Oreochromis niloticus: one gene and its partners. The protein of the gene in region 3 purifies or fractionates together with the protein of the main gene of each other region. This does not show direct contact. Links are inferred from orthologs where the notes say so. Each region holds a gene or a part of one and is shown on either strand. Other genes may lie near its edges.

Region 1 (10,262 bases), on a different chromosome or scaffold from region 3:
CGGAAAATGTAGTTTTTTACCTTCAAAGCCTATGTTGGTGTTTGTAAAAGTCATATTTGACTTTATGCTTTTCTGTATCGTTTCTGGGATGCTTAGAAGTCAAATTACACTGTTGGAAATAGTTTATTTTGATGCACATGCAGGTTTTTTTGCAAATTTGCATTATAATATTTATTTTTCATTTTTCCTGTAGTATATAAAAATTAGTGTATCTCAAAAATAAAACTATGAAGACACTCAAAATAAATTTCTCGTGGTTGGAAACTATTTTGTGCAACTGTTTTGTATTTACAGCTTTGAGGGAAAAGCCTCTTAAATTTCTCTAACTAGAAATATATGTAAAAACAAACAAACATATATTGTTGTTTATTGCACTTTTTTGAAATTTATATAGTTACTATGGACTTAATGCATACATATTATTAAAATTTGGGCTATAATGGTTGTATTGATGTATAGCAACTTGAAATGCTCCCACAAAAGGCACTACAGCATGTAAAATGTAAAGATAAGCTCTGGCAGACTTGGTTCTATGGTAGGTCTTAAAGGGTTAAATAGCCTGTGGCAAATATATTAGTGTTGTCTTCTCACTATACATACTCTTAAATTTATGCAAGAGAAAATAAAGTATAAAAAAATGATATTTTTCCCATGAAACTCCGTCTTGTGGTTTTGGTGCTGCTTTACGTGCACCCGGATTTGCGACATGCTTTACGGTAACTCAAAAACAAAGACTGCACCCTCTCCACTCGCTGTTTACAGACTGCATACTTTCCAGATGACCACAGGTCAGGTGGTATATCGTGATATATATCGTTATCGTGATATGAAATAATTCATATTGTGATAAATATTTTTTCCATATCGCCCAGCACTAATCACAAGCTCAGGTTCTTCATGTCCAGTTATTTAAAACTCCATCTTTGTGTAATCAAAGTAAACATCTGTCATGCTGCCCTTCTCTGATTTTTACTGCACAACAAACTTCCCCAAGTTCATTTAAAAAGAACAAAGAAAACAATGTGAATGTGTAAAAAATACAGCGCTGTTCCCTTCAAAGCAAAGGCCGCCCACAGAGCGAGAGGGTTGGTGGCAGTTTGCACTCTCAGAGTGCTTCTTGTTTATTAGCTGTTATTTATTAGGCTGCTATGCGATTGGTTTGGCTTGTTTGTCTGGTTATTTACCTGCAGGACGTCTAAAGATTGCCAGAAAATGTTTTCGAACTGTTTTATTCACCAGAGTTTTTAATGAAACATAGCAGACATTCCTGGAATATCACATGCTTGGAAATTGTGGGAAAAATGTGAAGATTTCTGTTAAATGCGGTAAAACAGACTTCTGACGAATCATGCCTCCATGCAGAGTCAGCCCCTCCCCCCAGAGGCATTTTCTGAGTCCGTTTACTTACAGGAAACTTTATCAGAGGTTTGGAATGATTCTGGGAGTCAAATGTTCTCGATTAAGAAAAACAGGCAGATGTTCTAAAGATGTTCTAAAGAAAATATCACAAACTAATCTGGATGCAGATTATTCTGGACTCAGTTCAGATGGAGTCAAGATGGAATCATCCTCATTTTAATCAGACAGCTGGAAGCACGACCACTTCTCAGGCACAACGTGGTCAAATGAACTCAAAGCAGAGCTCAGCAGCAGTCAGAGGAATACTCTTACTGATGATGATGATGGCCACTGGCTCCTGTATCTTCTGATTTCTTGTAGTTTTAGCTGGAAAATGTGGAAATCAGGAGTCAAACGGAGCGACAAACGTAAACCAAACACACTGGGGGGAAAGAATCCAGGTTCTGTCACCCGGAAAAGAAAAAAAAAACAACCCTTGAGATTTCCAGACATTAGGCATTAAAGGGATTTGGTGTCAAAGTCTGAGGGGTCTTAAGTGACTGGTAAGACTGAAAAATCCAGTGAAAACCCGCCCTCCCCTCTGCGCTGTGGCGATCTGAACATACGAGGCCGTGTCACGCTCGCCTCTTTAAGCCTATTACACTGATGGTTTCTATGAGAGAGGAGAAAAGAACAGGTAACACACCTCCACGCCTGACAGCAGGAATGTAAACGAGCAAACAAGAAAGCACCTCTGGCATCCTGAGCTGTGAGATAACCAAGGTTTTATGACAGGTTAACAAACTGAATGAGGCTTTCTGCTCTGTGACACACTCAGCTCGAGGTTCCCATCCTCAGATTATTCCCGAGAGAAGGAATGATTCCTCACCCAGAGGTAAACTGGTATTTGGAGTGAGTTATTTGGAGGAACAAACCTCACTGGACTGGCTGTTCATTACTGACCCGTTTAATCATTAGCGAGATATCAAAAATTATCTACTACAAACACAAAATGACAAACCATCCAGATGCCAAAAATAATAACGTTGCTAAAAAGTTATTTAAGAGCAGTCTAGGTGGTCTGATTAAACATTAATAAATGAACATGTTCAGGCTGCCAAGAGCTCAAAAATACTTCACTAGCTTCCAGCCGCCTCACTGCAGCAATAAAAGCACCATTACTGGGTAAAAATGAGTTTTTCCCATACTTACCAAAGTATATATATATACATAAAATGCATTCACTCTAATTTACAGATAATAATTCACACAGGTGATTGGCTTTCACTGCAATTAATTAATTATTGTGCACACCTGTGATGCGGATTCATCAGGTAGCCATTACCTTCTGTTTCACCCACCACGACTCCAGCAGCCACCCATTTCATTCACACCTCAGTCACACCAGCTGGAGACTACCCGGCAACCACCGGTTGCTAGGAAATAACAAGTATTCCACCATCCAGCTGTGAGTGGTTGCTGTGAAACCGACTGGTCAGTGTTTCCCTGGTAACCAGCGGTTGCTAGGGAAAAATAAAGTATTCCCGACCAGTTGGCGAGTAGTTTTGGGAGGTTCTATGCAATTGCTTGGTGGTTAGTTGGTGAATGTTTGCAAATGAGTGGGCGTCCTCCAAGCAAACTGCAGGTGATCAAAGCAAGGTAGCAGAGGTTTGCCGATGGCGGTCTCTAGCCGTTGGTCAGCCACTGGGCAACTCTTTTATTGGAAGGTTCATACCAACTCTCCTCCATCCCCTGCTACCACTGATTTTACTATGATGTCTTATCAAATAACAACCTGCCAGAAAACTGGGAACAAGGTCCCTAAAATCAGGTATTACTGGGGTCAGTGTGACTGGCTTTTACCTGCCACAGTTCCCTAAACAGAAAAGCCTCTTCAGCAGGTTTAAATATTGCACATTAAATCCATATCAAGGTACTTCAGTGCAAACATGGTGTGGAACTCTGTATTGACTTCATGAACAGACAACGATGTTTGGCCTAAAAGGCTCACACCACCTCGTTTACCGCATGAATGGAGCCTTTAACACGGCATGTATTTATCACATGTATGTGTTTTGACTATCTGCCAGAGGTCAAAGGTCGACGGCACCTGTTCTCACGCAGTCCTACCTGTCTCTGGGGTCGATCCAGCTCGTGCACTGGTTAATGTGGTCAATGTAGTAAACTTTGCCATCAAAGTCTCTGGCTTCCTCCCAACCGTCAGGTAGTGGCAACTCCTTCCTCGGCATGTCAGGCGAGTCTCCATGTAATGAACTCCTCTCTACTCAGAATCATCGCGAAGAGATACCATCATCATCACCATCACAGTCAGCCTCTACATCTGCAGTTAGTCCCCAAATTCAGAGTCCGGTTGGATTAGGCCATGGTAACAATCCATAATAATCCTCAGATTAACAATCAGACCCTGAACAGGAGGAGGAGGAAGGGGGTAAAACAAACTGTTTCATCAGGCTGCACTTGTGCAACAATTCATCCCGGTGTGAGAGCCTCAAAGCATCCGTAACGTAAACACAGCAGCTGGAGGAGTGTCCAGGACGGTCTGGAGTTTCCCAGGTCCGATGGCAAACTTTGAGGCGGCCTGGAAGAACTTTTTCGGGATGATTATCCACGCTCCGCCGAACACGGACGGGGTCCTGCTGCCGCCGGTGGTCTTGCTGCTCGGGTTTAACGGAAACACACGGGGAGCCCAGTAGAAACCTCCAGATTAACAAAGCGCAGACTTAGAAAAGGGTGGAGCAGCAACCAAAACGCCCTCGCGTTCCTTTAAAACACCCCCAAACCCGCAGAGCTGGGGCTCGGCTCCTCTCCGTGCCTACAGGCCACCATGTTTAGCCGCAGTAACCGACGCTAGCCTCCAGCCTGCGGGACAGCGAACAGTCCGCCCGCCGCTTGGAGAAAGGAGAAAAGTACCGGGAGAATCCACAGCCGTTAAAATCCGCTAAATAGCCGAAGAACTTCTTTGTTATCCCGTAAAAATCCTCCGGTGAAAGCCGGGCAGAGGGAGGCAGCGGCAGCGGCGGCGGTAAAGTCTTCTTCGGTCCCGATGACTTCGCTCGAACCGATCAAGCTAACTGCAGCCACTCAACCCGATTTCCGGTTTCAAAATAAAACATTTGTTGACAAACTCCAGGAAACAAAATAAGACTTCCGGGCAAAACAATATCCGAAAAGTACTTTTACTGATCCCATGAGGGAAATTATTGTTTTAAAGCAGGAGGAAGAAGAATAAAATATACAGGGTTCTATGAATAACACAACATAGTAAAAGGCCTATAGCGATGGTAAAAATTAAATGTAAATACTTTTGGTTATTGTATTGAAATATCACTAAAATTAACAAAATCTATGTTTAAAAAAAAAGAGAATGTTGTAGTGAACTATAGCTAAACGTTAGTTAAAAAGGCTATAACTGAAAAAGTCAAGACTAGGTGTGAGTTAAGTTACTCACTTAAGTTAAGTGAGTAACAAACAAGATTAAAATTCACTAAGAATAAAGACTTGCCTTTAGTGTGGAAAGAACTTACAATAAAACCTACAGTAAAATAGAAATGCACACGTGGCGTGTTTTTATTCAAACAGCTGTTCCGACTTTCCAAAATCTTGCTCCTGACAAACAACTTTCATAATTAAAAATAATAATCAAACATCCACCTGAAACTAGCAAAACTAGCAAATCTACTCTGTAAAGTGAATCAAAGTGAATTATTTTGAAAGCAAAAACTTCAAAAACAAAAATTTCAAATCTCAGTAACTCTGTTTTCATTAAATTATTTTTATTTTTATGGAAGCATTGCTGTTCTACCTTAATTTAATATTTAAATGCAAATTATGCATTTATGCATATTCTATAGTTTGTGGTATAATTTTATTTATGATTTATACTTTTATTCTACTACAACAGTAAGAATCCATTCAGAATTTTGAAAAAAAAGTCCTTATCTTAACCTATTTCATTTTAGATTTTTTATTATATGGATATTTATGGATTATTATTTATTATTACTATATTAATAGTAACAATAACTATTATTATTATTGGTAAATTTTAACCGTTATATTTTGGCTGTTTTGTACTTTTTTAAATTATTTGGTCTAAAAAAAATTAAATCAAACAAATAAACAAAACAAAAATACCCAGATAAACTTCCACATTTATAACTTTTATTATTTTTATTGACAGAAAGTTTCATTGTAGGCTGTGAGTTATGGTGATACTTAAAGTTTTGTTCAGTTTTGTGGCTCATTCATTAGTGTTTTATTCATAACGCCTGGTTTTAAATGTTATTCACTTATTTGTTAGCAGATATTTACAGAGTTAAACCTCCCAGCCTGCCCAAACTTTCAAGCCCACAGCGCCCCCTGGAGGTCAATATTCCGCAGTGCTGAATAGGTTGGGAGAAGTGATGGTTATCATCACCTGCAGATTCTTCCATCGTGCAGATATTTCTTCACACAAGAATCCAACGTCAAGAACAAAGAGTGAAACTGCTTCATAGTGCAGATGTTACCGGCATGGCTGCATTAAGCTTAGGCTGCTGAGGGTTTCCCATGATGCACTGGGTGCATCTTCTTCACTAACTGTGTTTTTATACACCTCTCTACATTTAATCATCAGTTATAATTAATCTCTGGCTCTCTTCCAAAGCATCTCTTTATCCTATCCAGCAGATGGCCCCGCCCCTCCCTGAGCCTGGTTCCGCCCGAGATTTCTTCCTGTTAAAAGGGAGTTTTACCTTCCCACTGTCACCAAAGCGTGTGCTCATAGGAGTCATCTGATTGTTGGGGTTTTCTCAGAATTAAATTGACTTTAACTGAATCTCCAGCTGAAAGGTTCCTCTCTTCTTTAGCCCTGAGAACACGATGTTCACGATTTCCAAACTGAATTTCACGGCAGTGTTTATCTCGCGGCCTTGTTTCTGTTTTTCCTTCACAGAGATTCAAGTGAAACTGAAGGACGCAGTGATGAGCTGCATTCACTGACGTGTTTTTAAGAAATTGATTTCTACCACAGAATCACCACATTTCTGTCTTTGGTGCTGTGCTGCCTGAAGGCCTGAGGCTCACAGCCTGGTTTTTAACCTTGTGTATGAAGATTTCTCTGAATCTTAACGACTTTATGTACCATGAATGAATCATGCACAGTCTTCCACAGAGAGCTGAAACCCTCCCTATATTTATCTGTAAAAACTCTGGGCGAAGCTCTTCTTCATGTCCAGTCATGGTTTTAATTCACATCATCAGTTATTTTAATTTTTGTTTGTTTTTAGCATTAAACAAATTAAACAACAGTTTTCTATTGCTTAGCTGTTGCTAAATTCATAATGAACATCATGTGACATATTTTTTTTTGGACTATGTCCAATCAAAAGATTTGGATTAATTCATTTGCATATCAATGTTTTATGTTCTGTTTGCAAACAGAGCTGCAGTTCAGTACGCAAATTTTTGAATATTTATATAGCACCAAGCTTTGCACAGTAACATCAATACCTGCTGTGTTTGACAGTGAAACCCAAACATCCTAACATTTTACAATTCTGATGCCTTCAAGCGCTGTAGGAAAAAGTCCACATTAGCTCCCACTGCACTAATCTGGTCGTCTAAATCACTAGAATGAGCAGATATGACCCAGAACTAGTGCCCTAATACCTGTTACCCATGATTATCATTATTATTATTATCACAGATTTCAGTTCAGTTCAGTTCATTTTTATTTCAAACATATACATTCACCAACATTTCATAATATCATTCCATGCAGTTGTTTAAAAAGGAGTAGGCAGAAGTATATACTTATTTAGCCCTACCCCCTTATGTTTACATCTTAATCATTTCCTCATCATCTAAATTTGAACAACAAAAACTTATACAAAGATTTCAACTTAGAACATAACGTCACAAAAAAATATTTTCTCATATTCAACTAAAACTATGTTTAGATTTACTGATTTGCAAAAGAAAATAAACATCACTTTGACTGCTGTCTTGGGTTAATTGCATTTTATTTTTATTTTATTTTGTATTTTTCATTTTATTTAGTTTTATTTTAAACTGGTTTATATCACTACTGGCCTTTTATAAAGGGGAAAACGGCGCTGGTTCTCCATCATTATCCCGGCTGCTGTGTCACTCTTTTGGCACTGCTGTATTCAGGAAGCAGTGAATAAAGCTGTGCCTGCTGTGGGATGCAGGATCAGGCCTCCATGAAGCCTCTGTTACTGTGGAAAAAAAGAAAACGCCCTCACTAACAGACGTGTTTTCAGCTTCAGTGCTTTCTTAATGAAGCACTTTGCTAGATTTGTGCTGCTTTTTCAGGAGGAAATATTCAAACACTGTACTTCCCTTCATAATTGTTTTATATGAGAGGAATAAAATATCCACTAAATTTGAAGTGAAGCATGAAATATATTTCTTTTTAATGTTATTGTAATTGGTTACAGCAACAGTAAATCCCACAGTGCACTTCACTGTGGGGTACATCACTGTGGGGTACTGCTGCTTTTCTTGTTGCTTGTTTTGCAGAAGACATCTGCAAAACAAGCAAGATGACTGTACATGGAGGAAGACTTTTATTACAGTTTATAAACACCTATCACATATGTAAGGTCATGTTTTTAGAGATGGATTTATGGAGATGACACAGACATTAAGGTTTTGTATTGTTGTTTAAATGTCACTTGATTTAAGCACGTTTTAAAGAGAACACACGGCGGCCTTACACATGTGGAGCTGTGTTCAGGGCTTCATTTTGTTTGGAATAAAACAATTATTTAGGTCCTTAAGGTTGTTCTGTACAGGTCATAACATTAAAAAATGAATAACAGATTTAATTTAATGTTATTTTGACAATATGCATTAAATATGTGTTATTTTTATAATAAATTAAAATTAAAGTATATTTGAATAAAATTAAAAATCTCCACATCACTATAAATTATGAATTCAGTAATAATTATTGCTATAATATCAACATTTGTAATATAATTTAATATATTGCTACAATATTGCAATACTTTTTCTGAAATGTTGGAAATAAATGAATACATTTTTTATTAATGAGTTAATTTTAATAAATAAGTTTTACTCTAAAAAAAAAAAGTAGGAGAGACTGTTTCAATATTGTGCAGTGATTCGATGTTATTAAATCAATATTAATCTAAGAAATTCTACAGCATGATAAGAGTATTTATTCATTTAGTAATTCAGTAAGATTGTTAGAATAAAATGTAAATTTTCTTTATAAATAATTCATAATTAGTGTTTTTAAAGTTTCTTTTTACTATTTTAAAATAATGTTAAAAATTAAATATTAGTATCTGATGTACCAGTATATATACACAAATACTAGCTGTCTACCTTTATATTGGCCTTGGGATTTAAAACAGCTGATAAGTGAAAAAGTAAAGAAGGAATTAAAGAAGAACTTTTAAATCACGTTATGAATGTTTTTTGCTGCATAGTCTGGTTTGTCCACCAGGGAGTGCGCTAGAACTTCGCTGTTTGCAACAGGTGCTTGGAACGTTACAAATACAATAATCAGCTGATCCGAGCAGAATTTGTGTAAATAGTTATCCATGACTTCTAACAAGAAAAGAAGACTCTTTATAAGCTGCACTGTTATCTCATTAATAACACCAAACAACAAAATATGAGTGGAATCTGTTTATGTTTCATGTGTCTAAAAGTCGAAGTCTTCGGCAGATATATTGGAGGCTTAAATCACCAAATATCGGTATCAGTCGGGCTCTCGTACAAATATGCATATTCACAAAATTCAATAATTTTATATTATTATAACGCAATAATAAATAAATGTATCAACGTTAGTAGGCCAGGAACAAATAAAATCATCATATAAATCATTGGATTATGACAGATTAAAAAAGAAAAAAGTACATTTTGTTCTTAATCAGTGATCAAAGTAGTCACAGTGTGCTGACCGTCAGTGTATTAGTTAAACGCGCTTGCACAGAGGAGAGGGGAAATTTCCGAGCTGAGCCTGAACGCAGCATTTTTTCTGCGTCTGGGAACAAAAACATCGGAGCGGCTCGGTCACATGTAGCGCGCCCAGCCGCAGCACGAGCGCGGAGCCGCGAGGAACGAGGAAGTCAGTCGAGCCGTTGGCGTCCAGGAACAAGCAGCAGCGGTGCGTCCGGCTCCCGTCCCCGGCTCCCTCCGCCACCTCACCCGCCACCTATGGTTCTCCTCCGGCACATTTCCATCGCCCTGACCGCCGCCGTGGCTGCCCTCGGCTCCGCGCTCTTCATCGCGCTGAACTACTTCTACAAGAGGCGGATATGGTCCCCGCAGGCGGAGTACTGCACCATCAAAGAGGTGGGAGGGCAGGTTACTCAGGTTACTCACCTTCTGAGTTTGGTCATTTTAGACGTTTAATCGATTTAATTTAAATTTAGCTGAACTGTTTAACTTGGAGAGGAGCGCGTTCAGGGACCTCTGACTGAGGCGAGGAGACGCTGCAGAGTCATTAGAGCTGCTGGAGATGTGCTGATGCTTGGTGGAGATGTGCCGGTGGCATTATGAGAAAACAGAAAGATGAAGAAGGAGAAAAGAAGGAGGTGGTGCTGATAATGAAGCAGTTGCTGATAATTAATGATGATGATGATGGTGGTGATGAAGGTGGGGGAATGTAGTGAGCATGATTTGAAGACTTTGATGTAATGCAATTCATTTTATATTAACAGGACAGCATTATGTAACGTGACAGCTCCAGAGGTGCATTGATCGCCCCCTGGTGGGTGGTTGAACGGTAGGTCAAAAGCCCCGCCCCTTCCACATTAGTAGCCATGGACACGAGTGATATTTAAGACATGGGGTCACCCACCCTTGACCGAAGGAAGCTGTTCTACTTCCTGTTAATCCCACTGTACAGAAATCGGGTGCAG
Region 2 (10,061 bases), on a different chromosome or scaffold from region 3:
GTCCATATGTACAGGCCATAGCATGCCCTGGGTACAAACGGTGGTATGGAGGCCAATCCTTGTCTTTTCCTTTGGAGTTGTTGTAGACAGTTGGTGACTTTCTTTTTGTAGTTGTTTGTGGGGTCTCACGTTAAGGCTACATAGGTTGTTGTCACTGAGGAGTGTATGAATCTTGGTGTAATAATCAGTTGAGTTTAGAACAACAGTGCATGTCCCCTTGTCAGTTGGTAATATGGTGATGTTTTGGTCTTCACTCAGGGATGTGTTGGCCTTCTCTTATTGTACTGTGAGGTTAGACGGAGGAATTCAGGTTGTGTTAATTTGTTAATCCTCACTGTTTCCAAGACTGTGAAAAGATCCACTATTTGCAGCTGTTGTGGAGAAATGCCAAATTGGCTTTGGCTAGCACATTCTTTCAGGTTCACTGAGGTTCCTTTCCACCCACTTATCCTGTCTTTGGTTTGGTTGTCTTCCTGTTCTTGTCCAAATGGTCTAGGTGTTGGTAAGTTTTTGTTTGCAATGTATGGAACTTCCAAAATCGTTCTTTTCCTTTAATGTCTTGTGGAAAGTTTGCATTGTACACAAACTAATGGATCACTAAAGTCAATGTCATTTCATGGACATTTTTTATTAACTACGTTACATTACAGAGTACTAGCTACTTTTTGAGTAATCACTATTTGAATGTCTCCCTCACTGAATAAACTTGAGCTGTGTAAGCAGTCAGACAAGTGCAAGTGAAAAAATGAAAGAACTTTGGTTTGCAGGAGCTTAAGTTGAGCATCTTATTGAAGTTAAAGAGCCAGAGCAATAACTACAAGCAGCAACACATATGACCTCTGCAAGCACAAAGGAGAATAGTCGAGTGTTGAGGTGTGTTACTTGTGGGGACAGAAGTAAGAAAAGACTTACCTAGGCCATTCTCACAGTCTGTAAACTCCATGGAATGAACAGCTCGGTCGACTCCGTATGGACCCATTAGTGTCCTGTTAGAGGTGAATGGATAAAAAGGAAGCGGGAAGCAGGGAAGGGAAGGAGAGTGAGGAAGAAAAAGATGACGAAATAGGGAAAAAAAACCCAAAATCCAACTATTTTCTTTCACAGGCTGCACAGCTACACAGTCAGAATCCATAGGAGCACTATAGTGTTGGGAACTTAACCTCAGATAGCTTATCCTGACTAGGCCTGAGACTTTGTCACCACACAAGTCAAGGAGTGTGTCTTGAGTGTGTGCTGCAGATACTTGGTTGTGCAAATGAGAGTCTTCTATACATTATGTATATACATTACTGTCAAAAATCTTTCTCAAAATATGAACACAAAGGTGTATTTTTCCTCACACTGCTGTTTGAAGACAAGACCAAATACAGCTGTGACAGTAGCAGAGGAAGCAGAAATGAGACGGCAGCATTGGGTAACTCAAAAGCATCTTGGTAAGATCTCACACAGTGAGCAATAATCTCTGAGAGATAGAGCTGGCACACATGTTGTTCATCTTATGCAATAATGCCGCACAAGAGGACTGCACACTGCAGCTTTCCCCTTTTTTCTTCATTACTAATCCTCATCTAACACTTGCAAAGCATCCCTTTGCTTCCCTCATTAGACACTACAAAAGACAATGCAGAATACTGCAAATGAACAAACCATTTTTGGTATCTGGAACGATGTCTTTTTAGCACTTTATTTTAGTTTGCAGTTCCCTTCCTGTCTACACCCAAATGAAAAAAAAAGGACTATCAACATTTTAGCTGCAGAGGGTTCACCACTGCTGCCAGTAAAAACAATGAGGCTGAGGAAACTCTGAACTCCGGGCTTTATGAATGTCGCAGCAGAATGCAGCTCTGTGTACAGAATAACAGTCTTCAAGCTTCAAATTCTTTAGATGATATTCTGATAGCCCAGCTCATTGGCTGATAACACAAAGACGCAACATTCAGCATGGAGCTGGACATTTTAACATCATCTGTTAAGGATGGATATAGAAAGTCTCACACTAGAACACCTGAATTCACTGTTGTTCTTTGTATTTTTGTGGTTTGGATTCATTTTACTGCATTGGGTTGTTTTCGATCAATGGTCATGACAATTTGCATATTAATGATCAAGAAACTGACCTCACAGCCCGTTGTTCAGTGGTGCTAGTTTCAGTTTTTATGCAAATATACTGTTTATAAGGTTGGGGAAACCTGCACTTGAATGAGTGACGAAACGTTTATCCTACTGAAAATGCTACATCCACATTTTCCAAAAAGAATTTTGGATTTGTATTCCTCGGACCAGAGATCGGTTTTCCTCTTTGCTACAGACCATTTTAAATGAGCTTCGGTCCAGAGAATCATTGATCATATTCACATATGGCTTCTTCTTTGCAGGGTGGAACTTTAACCTGCATGTGTGGACAGTACGGCGAGTTGTGGTCCCACACAGGAAGTGTTTCTGAGCCCATGCATCGATTTCCACCACACAATTGTGCCTGTTTTTAATGCAATGCTGCTTGAAGGACCAAAGATCGCAAACAAAAAAAAAGAAAACGAAAGAAAATTGTGAAACTGCACCACAGTTTGTTGGCAGTTTTTTCATCAGCCTCTGCCTCTCCACGACACTCTTTTCATACCCAGCTGTGTTACTTACTAGTTAACCTAATTAGCTGCTAAATGTTACTCCAGCTGTTTCTTTTCAGTACCACTTACTTAGTTTTTGTTGCCCTGACCCAATTTTTTTGAAAGATGTTGATGCCATTTTCATGAAATACAGTCCTGATCAAAAGTTTAAGACCACTTGAAAAATGGCAAAAAATCCTATTTTGCATGGTTGGATCTTAACAAGGTTCCAAGTAGAGCTTCAACATGCAACAAGAAGAAATGGGAGTGAGGCAAAATATTTTTTGATCATGCAGTTTATTGAAAACAACACTTTCAAGTGGTCTTAAACTTTTGATCGGGACTGTAGTAAAATGTTTCAGTTTAAACATTTGATGCTTTCTCTATGTTCTATTGTGAATAAAATGTGTTTTTACACCACATCCCAACTTTTTTGGAATTGTGGTTGTACAAAGGTCACATTGGCCAGGAGTTGGAAAGCAGCCACGATGGTTCACGTAACATCTCCATATATATTTTAGAATCCAGCTGGTAAAATCCACAAAAAGCATTAAACCTCAAAACCAGCACAGGTCAGCTGATCAGTCATTTCCTGCCACTGAAGAGCTACAAAGGTTCCCCCCTTTCCCCAGTCCCAGTTTAACCCTCAGGTCTACAGGTACCGTTTGCTGAGTAATTGTCATAAAAAAAAAAAAATTGAGTGCACTGAGTTATATCACATTCAGACCAATACAGTGGCAAAAGTTAACCTGATGGGCATGACCACAGACAACATAACGGATGGATGAGGCCAATGTGAATCACCGACCGCTTTGTTTCCAACCTGGATATGGCAGTGAGGGGTGGATCCAGCTATGAAACCACCTGCTCATTGGTTAATGCCTTGTGTGTTTCCAGAGGTGACAGCAGATGCCCGTTTACCCATGTAACACTACAGGACTTACAGTCTTTTTGCAACTACAGCTACTAACCCCTGAATCCAGGTTCATACAGTCTATGGGCATGACAGGAGTCACGAATACACTCGCTGAAGCTTGGTGCCATTCAAAAACCTCAGTGGTTGTGTTGTTAGACACACATCGATGAAGTATAACTTGTGGCATGAGAAACATACTGTAAACATAACTGCACAATTCCCTGAAGCAGCTCCACACTGCCGACTGCATCATTCACCCTAACGGATAAAAAGTCGATGAGACAAGCTTCCAAAAGTCTGTCAGTAAATGTTCCAACTTTGGTAAAACATATCAACAAATCAGCAACATTTAAGGACAAAATCAAAGAGCCACACACAATAAAAGCACAGATTCAATATTAAATGTCCACAATGGAACCCGCTAATGCTCCCAACATGTTCATGAGAGCTGACAAAGTGCCTCATAGAGTCTTTTCACAGTAAACTTGGGACAGCACCTGGTCTCCGGTGTGGAGCTCATCCGTTTGTAGCACATGCAAGAAAGATCACTGCATCATCTCACCCGGAAAACTAGAACATATCGATAAGCCTGAGAGAAGAGCATGAAGCACGGCTCTGCCTGAGACACGAAGCAGAAACATGCGCCTGTGTTACAGACGGACAGTCAGCGTCACGGTTACCAGATAAAGCCCGAGAAGACACGCGGTGTGTTTGGTTTCCACGGGACAGGGCTATGGTTAGTAAACGCGTCTCCGTGTTTACAGAGTTCAGCTGTCAGCATCGTGTCACTCCACCGCTGCTGTCACACAGACTAACCTCCACCTGCACACACAACCGCTCGCTTTTACCTGCTGATGATCACAGCTCCTTTGTACATGACTGAAAACGTTGGCATGTTGACATGGAGCCCGGTTCTCCGGTGAGACAGGCGGAGGCTCGGTCGCAGCGTTCAGCCTTCAGCCAGCAGCCACATGACGGTGCACAGGCACTAATTCCAGCGAAGCAGCCTGTGCGCTCCAAACATCTCCACCTTCAGCCACACGGTTAATCTCTTACATAACTAAAGTCGGTGGAAAATGAAAAAAAAAAACCCCCTCTGAGGCTGGAAATGATTCGGTGGTTTGTTTCTCACACATTTCTCTCCCCACTTGTCATTTTCTCTTGCTGTGGCCGTGCAGCGGCTTTATTTTTGTTGCGGGGAACAGCTCCATTCAACGGAATCTGGCTTTTCCCCTCTCTGTGGATGTTTGTGCTACTTTTATGGTAACGTGTTTAATTGTGTTTGGCCACGTTACGCTTGAACATTAGTCTTTCCATAGATTCTACCCACACTTCCATTTGTATCAACCACAGCTTCTTTTAAGACGATATTGGCCATTGCGCTAACAAGTTGTTGAGCCAAAGAGAGGGAGGGGCTTACGAGCCTTTAAACACATTAATGCACAAGTGCCCTACTCTCCATTTAGAAACTGCAATTTAATCCCCAGATGACATCCATTACTCTGCCTTCATCTTTTGTCATTCAGACCTTCCGTGCTGTCATCTTCACTACTCAAACAACGATTCTTCATTTTGGCTGTATTTTGATCAGCTGATGTTACAAAAATGCGAGAAAGAAAAAGAAAAGTTACCACAGTGCTGTCTCAGCTCAGTGCTGCTAGGAAGGGTTTTTGGTTAGAGACAGCCTCATCCGTGATCCCTAAAATGAATTTAATGCAAAGACAAAATCAATCAATCAAATGGAGGCGACAACGCTTAAAGATACAACACTGATCACTGTAACTGAGCTGTTTGTTCAAAGTGATCAAAGCAAAAGAAATGTGCATACAGCCGAGCAATCCCACACTGATTCCACCCAGCAACATGACACAGGTGAAACCTGCTGAACCTGCCTGTGTTTGGATTCACTGTTACATTACACTACATTCATAAATGGGGGAGCGTTCCAGTATACACTCTGTGGTTTCTTTTTGATTGAATTTGGTGTGTAACTGTTCTAGATTTGAGGTGTAATTTTCTATCAGTAAAATATCCTTACTGGTAGGTACAGTACAAGTGGAGGTTTGAATAGAAAAAACACACTAAGTATATTTTTTAAGGTTCTTGCCTCTAAAATTCCCTGAAATTATCATTACATGTAGATCCTTACAGTGTCATTTACCAATGTCCAAAGCCACTTAATAATTCAAAAATACATAAACATTCTTTCTCATATGGTAATTTTAGTTGCTGAAAGTTACCCCCCTAAACGAATAAAGAAATCATGGTGACTGGTCAGTAATTACACCATTATCTGTGAGCTGTATTATGAAGTGCTGCCCCCAAATAAAGTTGCTGAGTGACACGGGCCTGAGGCTGCAGGAGGTCCAAGCAGAAGAAATCTTTGACACAAACGATAAATAACAGAAAAATTCGTAGGAACGTTTCCTGGAGCACCGGGTGCTGAGATATTTGTGAGCAGCTTCAGCCTGAGCCACGAAAACAGCTGAAAACCTACCTGGCAAATCCTAGAGGCACTTTGAGCCTTTGAAGCATGTCTGTGCTGTGGTGCAAAAGCCTGGATGTTAGCTTGTGGTTGTTAACATATACTCTGCATATTTCCAATCATGATGCACCGCAGCTGCCAAGCAGATATGGAGAGATGATATTGATGAAGACATGATAAGCTTATGCACACAAATCCATATGGCACAAGCACGTGCTAAATATAGGCCTCTGCAAGAAGGCTGTTCAAATACTCCAAGCACAGATCAGACTGTATGACACACACAGAGTTGTTACATCTCAGTGGGTTTATTTCTTGCTTTGTGTGTGAAACAGACTGCAGTCTGCTTTGCTTCAATCTGTTAAAACTTTTTAAATGTGTATTGCTATTACTTCACACTAAAGCTGCCCTAATTATCTTTACGTGTTTTCTCTTTCATTCCTGCTTCTTTACATTTTCTTCTTAACTCACTGAGTTCTAGTTACTGTGCATACTAACGTTTATTAGTTCCTAACTTTACATCAGTCTCTGAGCTTCTTCCTTTAGTTAACATTACTTCCTTTTTCTGTTTCTTGCATTTAGCTTTACTTCCTGCCTGTGGTTGTGTTGATTGTGTACACCTGTATCTAATTACCATTAGCATTTACTCTGTGTGTATAGTCCTGTTTGCCTCTGTTGAACAGTTTCTATTCTACGGTCTGTGTGTTTTTGGACTTTAACTTTCTAACAAAAGCTTGTTCTTGTGTTCTTGGAGCCTGCCGTCATGTCTGCAGTTGGTTCCTCAGTATTTTTGATATACAACCTGCATGTTTCCTGGAAAGTACATTTAAACTTTTAGTCTGTGCAACATAGATTGTTTTGGGAGACGTTTTTGCCATGTTAGGCTAAACACAAATTGATAAAAATACCAACAGATAAACAAAAGACACCCAGGCGTGTTCAGCATAAATAACACATTAATGATGTTTGAAGCATAAATCCTATCACTGATGTTACCATTACCAGCACTAAACTGCTATGTTAGTTGAATGTCCCCACTGACCTCTGTAGTCTTATTTAACACTCTGATTTTTAGGTTTTAAATCTGTTTTTGTTTTTTGTGAATCGGATGTCACTGATGGGATAAAGAGCCAAGATATGAATTGGAGTTTCACATCCATGTTTGAGGCTTGGCTGTGCGGAGATATCGCCTGCATGGGTTCATTTAGACACAGTAAATAGCTGTGCTCAGTGGGGCAAACAGGAGCCCAGAGAGAGCCAGCCTGGCAAGTCTGAAAAATGAACTCGGGTCTGTAACTTAGACACAGTTATCCTTATTACTGCTGCAGTATGGGGACTAGCCAGGCTTCCTCAGAGATCAGTTTCAGAGACTACTCAAAATGAATGAAAATGCAGAAGTGTATACTCAGTGCATTTCAGTTCAGGTGACTAAGATTTAAACCAGTCAGCTTATATTAGGCTGTTATATTGAACGATACTCATGCACTAATAAAAGATTCTATCTGTCCATGAACAAAATGACATAAACAAGCTAAATTTAATGAAACCAGTTGACGAGCAGATTAATCTGGTGTGGATCCACATCATATTCTTTAAAAGGACAGCAGTGTGGTTATTGATGCTGATAGACCCTGACGCTCTCTGAATTCTGTTCCGACTACACGCTGGATTCATGAATTCAGTCCGTGCTGGTAAATTCATCTTTTAAGCTTTTCAAAAACTGATCCTAGCCCAGTCTGACTATCACGTGGACTCACGTGTGATTACACACTCAGGTTTACAAGACCTAGTTAAAGATATTGTTATTAAAACAAAAAAGAACCTTACTGTTCAATCTTTCAGTTTTTCAGTTCAATAAAATATACCATTATTACAGTGACAGCAGAGATATAGTAAAAACAGTTCAAAACCATTAAACCAGTGAGTTGTCTAAAGCCAGGACAAGGTTTGTGATGTTTTTCAGCTGTTGGGATTAAAGAAACTGGAGTCTTTCCAGGCCCTTACCAAACCCTGAGGTCTTGTACTGACTCCAGAGACAGGATTTGGGAGCACAGATGTAAGCTTGGCTAATACTTGACTGCAGTGGTAGCCAACCTGAGATTTGTCTCCAAATGTGAAGCATCTCATCCTTTAGAGCCTGCACCAGGCAAGGCTTCACAGTCCCAGACACTTTCCACAAAACACAAACAGACCCTCATCACTAACTCGGCTGTCCACGCTGCATACAGTTCCCAAGCACTGGGAATACATTGGCTTTTAAACTGTAAATGCGGGCCAATAAATCCAGAGTTATGATAAAAAATATACATAAGCCTTGCTTTTCTTTAAATACTGTCGTCATGGTTTTTTTGTGTGTTTTTTAATTTTTTTAAGCGTTTTCTAAGGACAGCAAGAAAACAGTAAAGAAAGAAAAAAGCCACCTCTTTCCTATCGATGGGAAATTGTACCATTTTTTAAAAAAAAAGTCACGTGGGATTTGGTTGTTTAGGAAGAGGGGAAAGTTTTGGGAGTGAGGGTAACGGCAGCGAGTGAGAGAGCGAGCGAGTGAGAGAGAGAGTTTTTAGATGTGGGAGATTTGTGATGTTCAGCGTGGAGTGTATCATTAGTGTGTTGTGTTGTGTAGTCGTTGTTTTGTTTTGTGTGTCAGTGAGGGCACTAATGAATGTCACAAAAGCACATTTGTAATGTAAACACTGTCACTAAGTAGAAAACCAGCGGAGTGATACACCTGCTGCTGTCAGGCCTGCAGGTTTCTCCCTGTGCTGCTCTCCTCTGTCTTTTGTTACTGGCACACATCATTTGTGGGGCATCTTATTGCGAAACCTGATTGTTCTCTCATTTTAGTTTTAGTAATATTTTTAAATGGTTGTACAAAAGAAACCCTGCCAGGTGTATTGGCTGCATTTATAGATAAATAGTTGTATATGTTTACAAAATGTGTGCTTCACTTTTGAAAATGTACAATTTATATTTGCATTTCATGTTATAAAAATAATTTACTCAACATGTGTGTGTGGGGGGGGGGGGGGGGGGGGGGGTTACGGTAAAAAAAATACTACTAGGAATTTAAGTACGTTGTGTGATTTCAGATCAGTAATATTAATGCAGTATGTCAGTGAAAAAACAACTAAATTCAGACACATGAGGTTGAGCTGAAAAGAATGATACCAAACAAGGCAAGGGGAAAAAATACATTGAAACAATTTGAGGGTGAAATACAAACGTAAACTCAAAAGGAGTCAAAATGTCCGGTTGTATTTCAGACCTCAGTGGGTTCATCCAACAAATCATGAAAAATTAGGTTTAAATTTTTGTTCATGACAGTGCAGATTTCTGACATTTTGTGAAAAAAAACAGTGTGAAACTTAAGTTAGTCCTGTGTTTGTAAATGAACCGCCCCATGTTGTGTAGCTTTCTACATACTCATTGGGCTACATATTTATTTATTATATAGGCTGTACTGTAGATAAAATCAAAACTCACATGTTTTATGCAACTAAAGTGTTTAATTATGTGGGCTACAGACAATAATTAAGTTATAGACTATATTTATATGAAAAACATGTATATTTACTGCATTTGAATTATTTTAACCATATGTAACCACCTGCGTATGTGTTTGAAAAAAAAAGGCCTTGATTTTGCCACCCCATTTGATTTCTTTGCCACCCTAAGAAAATTTCTCTAGATCTGCCCCTGACTGTGAGAAATGATCAGGTGTGCTGTGGAACATTATCTGGTTCCACCTGATTGGTACTCTAAGCGAGCGGCGTGAGTAACGGGCAGAACAATGACATTCTCTACCACTAGAGGGCAGTACAACTACCTGCTCTAATAAAATGGGTTGCTGACTGGCAGTAAAACAGAAGAAGACGAGGAAGAAATAACATAATAGTCATGCTGTGAGTGAGACGATGCAGTGTGTAATAGCAACAGATAAATATTTGAAAAGAAAAAGTGTTCAGTCTGACCTGGTCCTGGAGAAAACTCTGACCCAGGTGAAGGCCCGAGCATGAGTAGTGGTTAGAAGGAAGCAACAAAGGTAAACTGGGGACAA
Region 3 (10,980 bases):
TTTTTATAGACTTTTTTTTTAAACAATAGCTGCTTTCTTGCTAAGTACCGGTAAGTGATTTATGTTCATTCATGAGCATATCTGCTCCTAGGTAGAAGTTCAGTATTGTTACTGATACCGACCCAGCACAGCTGATTGGTAAAACTTTAATACTTCTTTAGAACTAGCTTAGCAGTACCACCACGGGAGGTTTTAAAAAGTGCAGTTCCTTGAGTGGCCACTTGAGGCATTCTTTAAAAGCCTGCAAATCCCCATAGGCTCACATGTTATAATGTCCAACTTTACAGCAGAAATAAACATGTTTACAGCCTGGTAGAAGAAACAGTTTCGGTCTCTATTGCGCATCTCATCCTTCATGGGGGGTGTTTTTTAATGGCTCGCCCATTTGCACTTTTTTGGGGCTCAAAGTTAGGGGCATGATCATTTTAATGATCATATCATTCGCGATAAAGACTGTATTCGTTTTTATGTGACCCAAGCCCAGATACCTTAAAAGGAGCTACTTCACAAATTTCAAACAAAGCTCTTTACAAACTATGTGAAAAAAAAACTGCTCCCGCTAAAGATGAAGACAACAAACTTGCTCCACCACATGAAGCAAAAAACATGACATCTAATACAAGCAGGCTACAAAGGAGGAGATGCTAGCAGCCAGTGATGTGCAACCCAAATAAGGGCTGGTCGATATAACGATATATATCGGATGACGATATAAAAACGTCTATCGTTTCATTTTACGCTATCGTTTGTTTCGTGGTGTCGCAAAATAAACTGTTTACGGCAATATTTTTTCATCGTTTTGATGGTCACTGTAGTGGCTATATTAATTTCGTAATTTCTCTCTCTCTCTCTTATATTTAATATAACCACACTACGGACGGACAAGCGCTTGTTTTTATGCCTTGCGGTTAGCAACAATGACGGTAACACCATCGCGTGTCCGCTTGTTTATGTTCCACATAAACCCTTCACAATAAAGCTCAAGATCCTGTTGAGACTTTTCAAAATAAACTCAATCACGTGAAAGAGCAGATTATTTACGGATGAGAAGCAAAACAAGAGCCGCCAGGTGCTAAAAAACAAACCTTAGACTCAAACGTTAGAACAGGCTTTTCCCCGCAGCACGCCGTGTAATAAATACTCACAAAGAAAACGGCGGCCTTACAACTTATGTCTAAAAATGTATAGTTTTATGCATCCGTTAAAATACTCGACTCCAGCTACATGACGCGCAGCTGGAAACACTTCCCGCAAGTCGAGCTGCCCGAGATTCACATAATTTACAGAAAATGTTACATTTTTGTGATTTATATCGTTATCGGGACGATAGAATTCTTATATCGGGATATGAGATTTTGGTCATATCGCACAGCCCTAACCCAAATGTAAACAAATGTTGACAATGACAGTATTGTGCAAAATCCTGAAAAGGTACACTGTTAAGTTACTTTAATTCTTGTTAAAGTGAACTGTTAAGCAGTCACGTACTACTTTGACTTATAATTTGCAGGAAAACATTACCTCGGTTACTTTTGTGCTTACATTTGACTTATGCTGTGTCACTTGATGTTATATTGCGTCTCTGCTTTAATGCTGCTGTTGCTGCTGGCACCTTGTGGGAATAGATTCACACTTCACTAATTCACCAAAGGTCTTGTGGCAAAGAAAGAAACTGAAAAGCTTATTCATGCATTTATTTTCAGTAGGCTAGATTACTGTAATGGAGTTTTTACTGGTCTTAATAAAACATCAATTAATCAGCTGCAGCTTTTTCAAAATGCTGAAAATGGATCATATTACATAAATTTTGAACTCGTTGCATTGGCTTCCTGTGTGTAAAAGGACTGATTTTAGAATTCTGCTAATGGTTTATAAAGCATAAATATATTGCTGACCTACTTGAGGGCTATGAGGCTTCTGGGCCTCTTAGGTCCTCAGGAACAGGTTTACTTGGAATAGAAGAAAACAAGATGAGGCAGGATTTAGTGTGGGTCATTTGTGGAATAAACTCCCCTCACACCTGCAGTGTGCAGAATCCATCAGCTATTGTAAATTCAGGATTAGAAACGTCTTGTTTTCTTTAGCTTTTTTTCCCCAAAAAGTCTTGTTTTTCTAAACTGCTCCAAAATCTCCCAATGTATATCTGTATGTCGGAGCTACTGTAGTGATACATCATTAAAATGGTGTTAAAAGCTGACACGATTGTACGCTTGTGTCTTCAACCCAGGTTACAGAAATCGAGAGGTACACGACCGGCCGAAGTGACAACAATGCAACATAATTTTCTGTGTGGGCTTAAAAGAACCGTAACAACCCATCTAAGAAGTCAGAGCTCCACCTAAACATCCAAATACGGTCACTTCTCACACCAAAACGGCAACATAGTCAAAGGCAAACCTAGCATTGAGGCTTCAAAACAGGACTTCACAGACCTGTGAAGTAGGTGACATAGAGGCGCTTACATCCATCATTTAAATACAGTCTTTGTATACAACTAAAGTTAAAAGCATTGCAAGGACAAGAAATAACTGCTAAGTTTTTCCAATACAAAAAGTATATTTAAAGGTAGAGTATTAGCATGTAAGTTGATATAGGGGACAATTATTTACACACTGAAACACTTGATTTATGAAAAATACACTACAGTGTCATTACTATTAGATGTGAGACTTTTGGTTGCACATGTGAGTGTTTTATATTGGGTATGGCCAAAGAAGCTATCAGCAGATTAGCACCTATTTTCATTGCAGATTAGTTTCATCTGTATTTAAGTCAATGCCTTGGACATGTAATCACTTTTAATCACAAAAAAGAGGTCATAGCCTTCTTCACCCCTTCCATTTTCTACTGCAGTGCAGCTATGGTGTAAAATAACAAGTGAACCACAAGCTGACTACGAAGGAATTCTATGCATTTCTTCCACTTTGGTTAAACTGTTATAACAATAACTACAATAACTGCTGCTGCTGCTGCTGCTGCTGCTGCCTGTTTTTTCCCCCTCTCTTCCTGTGGTACAGTGTGAGCACTTGACCAAAATTACAGGTATGTTTGCACCACACCGTAATCAAATGGCCTCTAGACTCAAATGACCATTGGCTACACAAACAATAGCCACTTTTCCTTTTAGACGCAGGCTCACATTAAGCAGTAAACACCTATTATGATCTTACCGGGCTGACCTTCAACAAAACACCCCTTTTGGGAATTAACATTTCAGCAACTTTCCTTGAATAAAAAGCAGGAAAGAGAGTGCCAAAAATGGCACTGAAAGACAAACTAGATTTGTGACTCTCTACTCCACAAAAGAGAAGCATGGATGGAGGTTTCTACTCTGCCTTTTAGTCCTTTAAAAATCTCCACCAGTGTTTTAAAACTGCTGTGTACACCCAAGCCACTTGCTCGGGCACCATGTAATTTACGCAGCATGCCTTTGAGCTTATAAAGACAGCCAGATGTGTGTGTGTGTGTGTGTGTGTGTGTGTGTGTACACCCTACGCCTCCAGCAGCTATGCTGTGTTGCCTTTACTCCCCTTTTACAGTAATGCTAGTTGTCCAAGGTGCATGTTCAAACACATTTTTCTTTTCTACACAAACAAGTACACACAGTTTGCAGCCAGGGTGTGAGGACATCAGTCCATCATCAGCTTATAGAGGAAGGCTGCTCATACTCAAACACACCATTCAGCCACCAAGCTTGTTTAATACAATTCAACGAGGTGAATTTACAGATGCATTCTCTGTCAGGGATTATGGAAATGTAATGTACACATGCAAAAATGACAAATAAATGAGGAAGGGCCAGAAATTCCGGGTGTTGCGCACTCCACATGGCATGAGCCCACTGCCCAAACCCAAACTGGATCTTACAGAGGGCTCCATTGGGTCTCCAAAGCCCAGTTCAGTCGTGTAATTTCATGATTACCTCATTAACTCCGGGGAATCTTTCAGCGGTTTTCCAGCCACACACAGGTTCTCTAACTTCCCAGTTTTCTCTGGAATCGCACAGACTCCCATCTTATTAGATGTAGAGGGGGATTTAGAGGCTCTGTCTGTGATGGTGATGCATGTTTATGTGCAGGAGAAAGGGGGGCATTAAAATAGTTTGGATCTCCTTTTTGCCCTACGTGGCCAAGTCACTTGACCTACATCTAAGCACTCCTACTGTGGACTTTACAAGAGTTTGGATCTACTTCCAGATCTGCAGGAAACCATGAAGAGCAAAGCTGAACTCTTTTTGACTGAGGTAGATTTTCGCTTTTTTCCCCCCCGTTAAAAGAGAACTCACCCCTGATCCTGCGCTACATGCCGATTTCTTCTCCCAGCTGAAGAAACTCTTCTTTGCTTGTCGAGGTTTGGAACTCACGGCAAACAGATAATCCACCTTAAGTTATTTAACTAACTTTAAAAAATATAAAAAAAAATATAAAAATCCGGCATGAACAAGAAAAATCTGCGTCTTCTCACATCAAAATGAGCTCAACCTTAACAACAACCAAAAAAGTCGCAGAGGCAGACCAAATCTTGAGCCTCCTTCTTCTCGCAGTTTTGTTGCCTTTTATTTTTTTCTAGGAAACACAAACAGTCACAAAAAGTTGTCCGACTTGGATAAAGCGACGTGGTCTTCTCTCGCTGGGACTCTTCGTATGTTTATAGTGGTCCCTCTAGTCCAATGGAGGCGTTCAGGACAGGCGGACAGAGCCGCTTGCTGCAGCTACGTTCAAAAGCTGAAGACTGCATCGGAAAAATGAGCCTTACGTTGAACGTCCCAAGAGGCTGAAGTTCGAGATAATAGTCAAAGAGTCCGAGAGGAAAAACCTATTAATTAATTGTCAAATTAAAGTTTTTCTTTTTATTGAGTGTATTTGTTATTTTTGTAATCATATGTGAGTATTTCTTTTTTTAATTAATTTATTTATAACATTTTTCAAATTAAGTAATCAAAGGAAAGACTCGTCCATTGAATTTCTCTAAACTGTACTCAGAAGCAGTAAGGTGGGAATTTGGCAGGCCTGCTTGTAATTATGACAATACAGTTTTAGTGGATTGCAGTGATTGCCCACGACCTTTATAAAAGCTTTAATTATAATAAGTCTCAGTAAGTTGGTGAAAAATTGCAGTTTTACGTTTAGAATACAATTGCTTGGATAGACTCCAGCAGCCTAATCTGAGGCAGGCTTTCTTACATTAAAATAAGATAGGACACAATAATCTAATCTAATTTTGACAAAACACAATAATACAAAGCATCGAAAATGGATTATCTTACTTGTGGAGTTTTAAAGTTTTGGGGGGGGGGGGTTGTATTGTTAAATTATTACTGGGGCAGCACGGTGGCACGGTGGTTAGCACTGTTGCCGCACAGATCCTGAGTTCAATTCCAACATCAGGCCGGGGTCTTTCTGTGTGGAGTTTGCATGTTCTCCCCGTGCGTGGGTTCGCTCCGGGTACTCCGGCTTCCTCCCACAGTCCAAAGACATGCAGCTTGTGGGGATAGGTTAATTGGATAATCCAAATTGCCACTAGGTGTGAATGTGCGAGTGAATGTGAGTGTGAATGGTTGTCTGTCCCTGTATGTTGGCCCTGCGACAGACTGGCGACCTGTCCAGGGTGTACCCCGCTTCTCGCCCTATGACAGCTGGGATAGGCTCCAGCGCCCCCCGCGACCCTGAAAAGGATAAGCGGAAGCGAATGGATGGATGGATGGAAATTATTACTGCTCTTGCTTGAGTAAGCTATTAAAAAAAACACGAGACAACTGGGCTATGAGACTGGACGTGCCGTTTTCGCCGCTCATTTGCACCCCCCCCCCCCACACACACACACACGCACACACACGCACACACACACGCACACACCTCAGAGGTCGCACTGTGAAAGAGGACCTGAACGCAACAGCGCCGTCCCCTCAGGAGCGCCGCCCCCCTCCACTCTGACATCAGACCTGAGGAATGCGAGGAATCCCGGGCTCCTGGGAGAAGTCCTCTTCGTTTAATGGTTTTCCAGGGGGGACAGAGGTGACTAAATGTCGAACAAAGGAGTCCCCTCACTTATTTATGTCAGATCTTTTGAGTTACAGCCATGGTGGAGCGATAATGAACTTTTTTTTCAAATGCATGTCGACTATATTCAGATTTCATTAAATATAAACAACTGTTTTGACCTAAGACTGATAGACTTAAAATTATACAGTAATGTATAGAGCAATGACTGCCTGGATAACAAACTGCAAGTGACTTTGAGGATATTATAAAGGAAGAATATATCTTGTTTAATGTGCCTCACCCACTAGCTTCATGCCGTTACAAGCCCGAGTGACCATTTCAAAGCATACTCCATAAATATCACCGCTGATGATCAGTCTTTGCATCCTACAAGCACACCACTGCGGAATATTTCATTATACCACAGGAGAGGAAAAATACTTTTTTTTTTTAAAAAAGTGCAGATTCATTATTAACATCCCTCACAGCTTTATTAAAGAGGTATTCAGCTGAGCTCCTCTTTGGGAGGATCTGAGACTCAGTAAGAGCAATCAAAGTGCAGTAGAGTCACCTCAAAATATTGTTTTCACATAAAAGAAGCAAAATTCTCGGCTTCTTTTTATTTACTCTAAACTAAAATAAGGCTTATTAGTTGGGCAGAAAATAGCACTAATTCAAAGGTAGCACAAGCCATCTTATTTGTGACCGAATTGCAGCCTCTTGTGGCTCAAAAGCAATTGACAGCCAGCAGGAGCAGAGAACCAGGATCTTAGATGATACTAGTTAAATCATTCAAAAAATTTGAAATAAGTGAAAAAGGTAAGCTAAGAAAATAAGGACATGACCTTGTCCTTGTCCATCTGACAACTAGTCGTAATAAAACTGATTCTAATTTTGAAACAGGTGTTGATTTTGATTGATATATTAGAACAGATCATCTTTAATCCTAAACCCAGCCTTTGGAACTTCCAGTAACCTGAAATGAATTATTGCTTCAGTGCAAATATTGTGTTACACCTGTGGCATTTAACAGCCTACCACGTTATGCGTGCAGCAACTGCAGTTTTGTGGGACGGACAGCTTTGAATATGCAGCGTAACAAAAGCCCTGCATTTAAGAATTATGTAGGAAATATTTCTACTGAGAAACCTGACAGTTTAAGCTGTTGCCTTGAGGTCCAAATTCCATCCTCCATCCTTCTCCTGCTTTACCGGCATATTAAACGTCTATTCTTCCGAGCAGTAATGATAAACTATGGTATCATGGGGGCGTAATTATTAGCAGCAGATGCATTTTGCATTTTGCTTCTGGAACGACAGATGAAATATCACACTGCCAACTTCTCAAACTTTATAGATACAACCAAGAAAAAAAAACATTTAAAAAAATCACAAGCCCCTAAGACTTACACAGAAATGTTTTTAAAGTAGATGAGGAATTACTAACAAAGTTCTTTGGAATATCAAACTAAAAAATACAGGAAATGCTCTGCCGGGATTGTTTCTCTGTCATGTGTGAAAAATTCAGCACGATGATCTCAGCCGAGTTCTGATGATCAACAAGCTGATAAAAGAGATTCTTGAAAACAACAACAATGTTCAAAAGTTGAAGGAAACATTAAACACGTCCATGCATTCCAACAACAACAAAAAAAGGTCTAAAATTATTGAAGCACTGAACAGTTCAAGTGTAAGAGTTTTCAACAGGCCTTTAAAAAGGACACTGCAGCTTCAAGAGCTCCAAGTGAAACAATATGTTCTTTATTTTCTATTTCAGGCATTTTGGGGGAAAGGCCTTGCCTTTTGCTTCCTGAGATTTCCTGCGGGAGATGCCTTGGGAGCGCAAAATACTATCACTGCTTCATTCCATGCTACAGTTTGAAACACTCCTGAATTCAACAGAAGTGTTGTAATATTTGCTGATGAGGCTCCTGTGAACATTACATGGATCAACTGAAGGGTCGGGTGCATCTCTCAAGTCCTGTGTCGAGTCTTTCGTGGATTTTTTTCTATTCCTATTTATTCCTGATGCTGCGCATCTGCTACTCTGTGGTCAGTGCTGTTGCCCACAGCAGGGAAGTGTCATGGTCCCAGCTGGCCCTGGAGAGGCCTTTTTTCTTCTGTCTCAGTCTCAGTGTTAGTGGTGGGTTGGATTTTCTGTCCCTTTTTGGGATTCCTGGGCTTCAGTTGGGCATTTAAGGCAGCATTTAAGGACTGGCTGGTGCATATATTCCTTATCAAATCATTGTCACCAATGGGGGTAATCAGGCCCTGTGCCGAACTCATTTGTCCTGTTTAGAATATGCTATCAGTAATCTGATTCTCTTGTTTGCCCTTTAGTTAACTGAAGCTGGTTTATTCAGTAAGATCTCTCCTGGAAGATCTCATCAAGAAGGACTGCGTGCTTCACACTGGCTGGTATCCTTGGTTTGGAAAAGGACTCTTTCATTGTCATTGTACACGTATAACGCAATTGTGGAGTTACGTTTCTAAAATTCTGTTCCACCCATTTAATTTGATTCAACTTTTGCCATTTAACTTACCAGGATCTCCTCTTGTCTCCCTCTCCTGCAGAAAGAATCCCCTGTCATGTTCCTGTTGAGCTCCCCTTACCTGAGTTAATTATTTCTGTTTCAGTATTACCTATGAATACAATCTGTAAACTGCTGCCAGTGTCTGAGTCCAGTATTTGAGTCTACGTTCTTGTTAACCGTGACAGGAGGTTCTGGGTTTGAACCTGGGCTTGGTGGAAGTGATCTGGAGTTTACTCTGGGAACACTGGTTGCCATCAAAACATGCCATGTTAATTCACTGCACAGGTTTCCCTCTGCTACGGTTCTAGGCGTGGGTTAAATGCAGAAAATTAAATTCCCTGCTGGGTTCAATAGAGAGCATCCTGTCTTAAGTTCAGAAAAATGTTGAGCCAGAGAACGACATCAGAATCAAAGAAAATCAGAACCACGTGTACAATGTGGAAAGAACGCCACATAATAAACTGGTTTAGATACTTCAGAATATCAGATTTTCACTTCTGCAGTAATGCTAAGAGTCAAGAAATGTGTAATTCTGATTACTACCAGTTTATTTTTCTTTCAAATAAACTCAAAATGCAACTTAATGGAAGAGATGAGAAGGCTTGAAACCAAAGTTTTATTGTGAAAGTATATTTTGGTTCATAATTTAATTTGAAAAGATATCGAATTTTAATTGTGTATTTCCTATATTCATTACACGTAAAGTAAAACATTTTTAGCCTTTTTTCAAATTATGGCTCACAGCTCATGAAAATCAGAAATCCACTAATACCCAGGGGACTAGTTTAGCTCACTGGATCAAGCAGGTGGCCCATATGCAACCAGGGTAACGCAGAGGCCTGGGTTTGAATTAGCTCTGAGGCAATTTGCTGCACCTGGTCCACATGTTTTTTTTCCAGCTAGCCTGTATTCTCTCCACTGTACAATCAAATAAATGCTAAAAAAAAAACACAAAAAAACCAAACAAAATACATATAAAAAAGAAAGAAAGAATTTCAGTAATCCAGCCTAGTTCTGTACCTGCAACCACAGTCACGAGGAAGACGGCTGACTTGACAGTGGCCCAGATGATCAACAGTCGCCACAAAGAGGGTAAGCCACAGAAGATCATTGCTAAATAGGCTGGCTGTTCACAAAGTGCTCTATTGAAGCATATTAATGGAAAGTTGACTGGTAGTGAAAAATGTGGAAGGAAAAAGTGCACAAGCAGCAGCCAAGAAGTTGGCAGCACTCCACAAGGAGTGACTGAGGATAGTGTCAGTCCATCCAGAGCCACAACACACGGGTGTCTTCAGGAAAGGAGCTGCAGCTGTCTCGATCTTAGACCAGCGTCCTACCTGGGCTAAGGAGAAAAAGAAATGGATTGTGATCCAAAACCTCTTTTCAAATTAAAAACAGAAAGAAAAGAGAAAAGGAAAAGCAGAGACAAGCAGAAGTCCAGTGTGTTCACACTCTTTGTGATGATTTGGGAAGCCACGTTTTATCAAATCCAAAGTCAACACAGCTACCAGGGGATTTCTCAGGACTTCATGCTTCCATCAGCAGACAAGCTTGCTTGCAATGTTGATTTCTTTTTCCAGAAGTACTTGGCAGCTGTAAGGTACAGGAAGATGAGGAACACCTGACCCTAAAATAAGGACAGGTCTCAATCAAAGCAACCTGGGCTTCAGTAACACCACAGCAGTATATGAAAGTTCACCTTGTTGAATTAAATTATAAATACATGTATCTTATTGTGAAAGGAAACACGAGGGGCTGAAAAACATCAGTTTTCATTCTGCTGAGGGTCACCTGTAGACTGAGGTTTTTTCACATGCAGTTTGGCTGTTTTAGACATAATTGTGACTGATGGTAAATTGACTCAAACTCACCCAATCTTACATGACCTTTCAACACCCTTGCCTTGTTGGATCGATAAGCCCATAAATGGACTGGACATCAGTGTGTTTTCACTCTATTAGAGCCGTGGAGAACTCAGGCCAATATTTCACTTGAATATGTTGCGCAATGTTTAATTTAATCTGTGTTATGTGTCATGTTTGATCTTGATTATTTAAGTGTTTGTTGTAATTTAAGATATTATGCTTGGTAAATTCGTCCCGCTTTGTTGATCTGTTTTGTTGTTGTACAGTTTTGGTAGATGTTATAAAACTGGTATGTACAAAAACATGAACAGGTAACCAGGACTCCAACTGGAGACATTTGTTTTGTAGTTTTTAGTATTGTGTGGAATAAATTACTTTTTTCTCCTTTTTTTTTTTTTTACATTCGCCTCTTTGTTTTTTACTACTGAATTGCATGCTAGCTTCCTCCTAAAAAAGCAGGAGTCAGAAACTTCATGCAGAAGCGACAAAAGGTCAGAAAATTGCCACTACATACACCCAAACACAGCCTATCACAGCTGTCTTAGAGCGAGAGGCAGGGTACACCCTGGATAGGTTGCCAGGGCTAACACATAGAGACAGA

Evidence for each region.
Region 1: the proteins of tyrosine-protein phosphatase non-receptor type 14 (region 3) and wwc1 purify together in Homo sapiens (affinity purification with mass spectrometry; 7 studies listed by BioGRID and IntAct, counting the BioPlex papers as one, with this or other methods). This does not show direct contact. The link is inferred for Oreochromis niloticus from reciprocal best matches to the Homo sapiens genes PTPN14 and WWC1.
Region 2: the proteins of tyrosine-protein phosphatase non-receptor type 14 (region 3) and si:dkeyp-72e1.9 purify together in Homo sapiens (affinity purification with mass spectrometry; 3 studies listed by BioGRID and IntAct, counting the BioPlex papers as one, with this or other methods). This does not show direct contact. The link is inferred for Oreochromis niloticus from reciprocal best matches to the Homo sapiens genes PTPN14 and STXBP4.

Annotation. Positions count from the first base shown.
Region 1 is NC_031975.2:30,433,066-30,443,327, reverse strand, and holds the start of wwc1 (protein KIBRA), read right to left. Parts: upstream 4,445-10,262; 5' UTR 3,588-4,444; coding exon 3,469-3,587; intron 1-3,468. Other genes in the region: arl10 (ADP-ribosylation factor-like 10), read left to right, coding at 9,556-9,693. UniProt on the Homo sapiens protein: Regulator of the Hippo signaling pathway, also known as the Salvador-Warts-Hippo (SWH) pathway.
Region 2 is NC_031969.2:440,706-450,766, forward strand, and holds the start of si:dkeyp-72e1.9 (syntaxin-binding protein 4), read right to left. Parts: upstream 4,331-10,061; 5' UTR 4,301-4,330; coding exon 4,200-4,300; intron 987-4,199; coding exon 913-986; intron 1-912. UniProt on the Homo sapiens protein: Plays a role in the translocation of transport vesicles from the cytoplasm to the plasma membrane. Inhibits the translocation of SLC2A4 from intracellular vesicles to the plasma membrane by STX4A binding and preventing the interaction between STX4A and VAMP2.
Region 3 is NC_031980.2:10,014,129-10,025,108, forward strand, and holds the start of tyrosine-protein phosphatase non-receptor type 14, read right to left. Parts: upstream 4,699-10,980; 5' UTR 4,286-4,698; intron 1-4,285. UniProt on the Homo sapiens protein: Protein tyrosine phosphatase which may play a role in the regulation of lymphangiogenesis, cell-cell adhesion, cell-matrix adhesion, cell migration, cell growth and also regulates TGF-beta gene expression, thereby modulating epithelial-mesenchymal transition.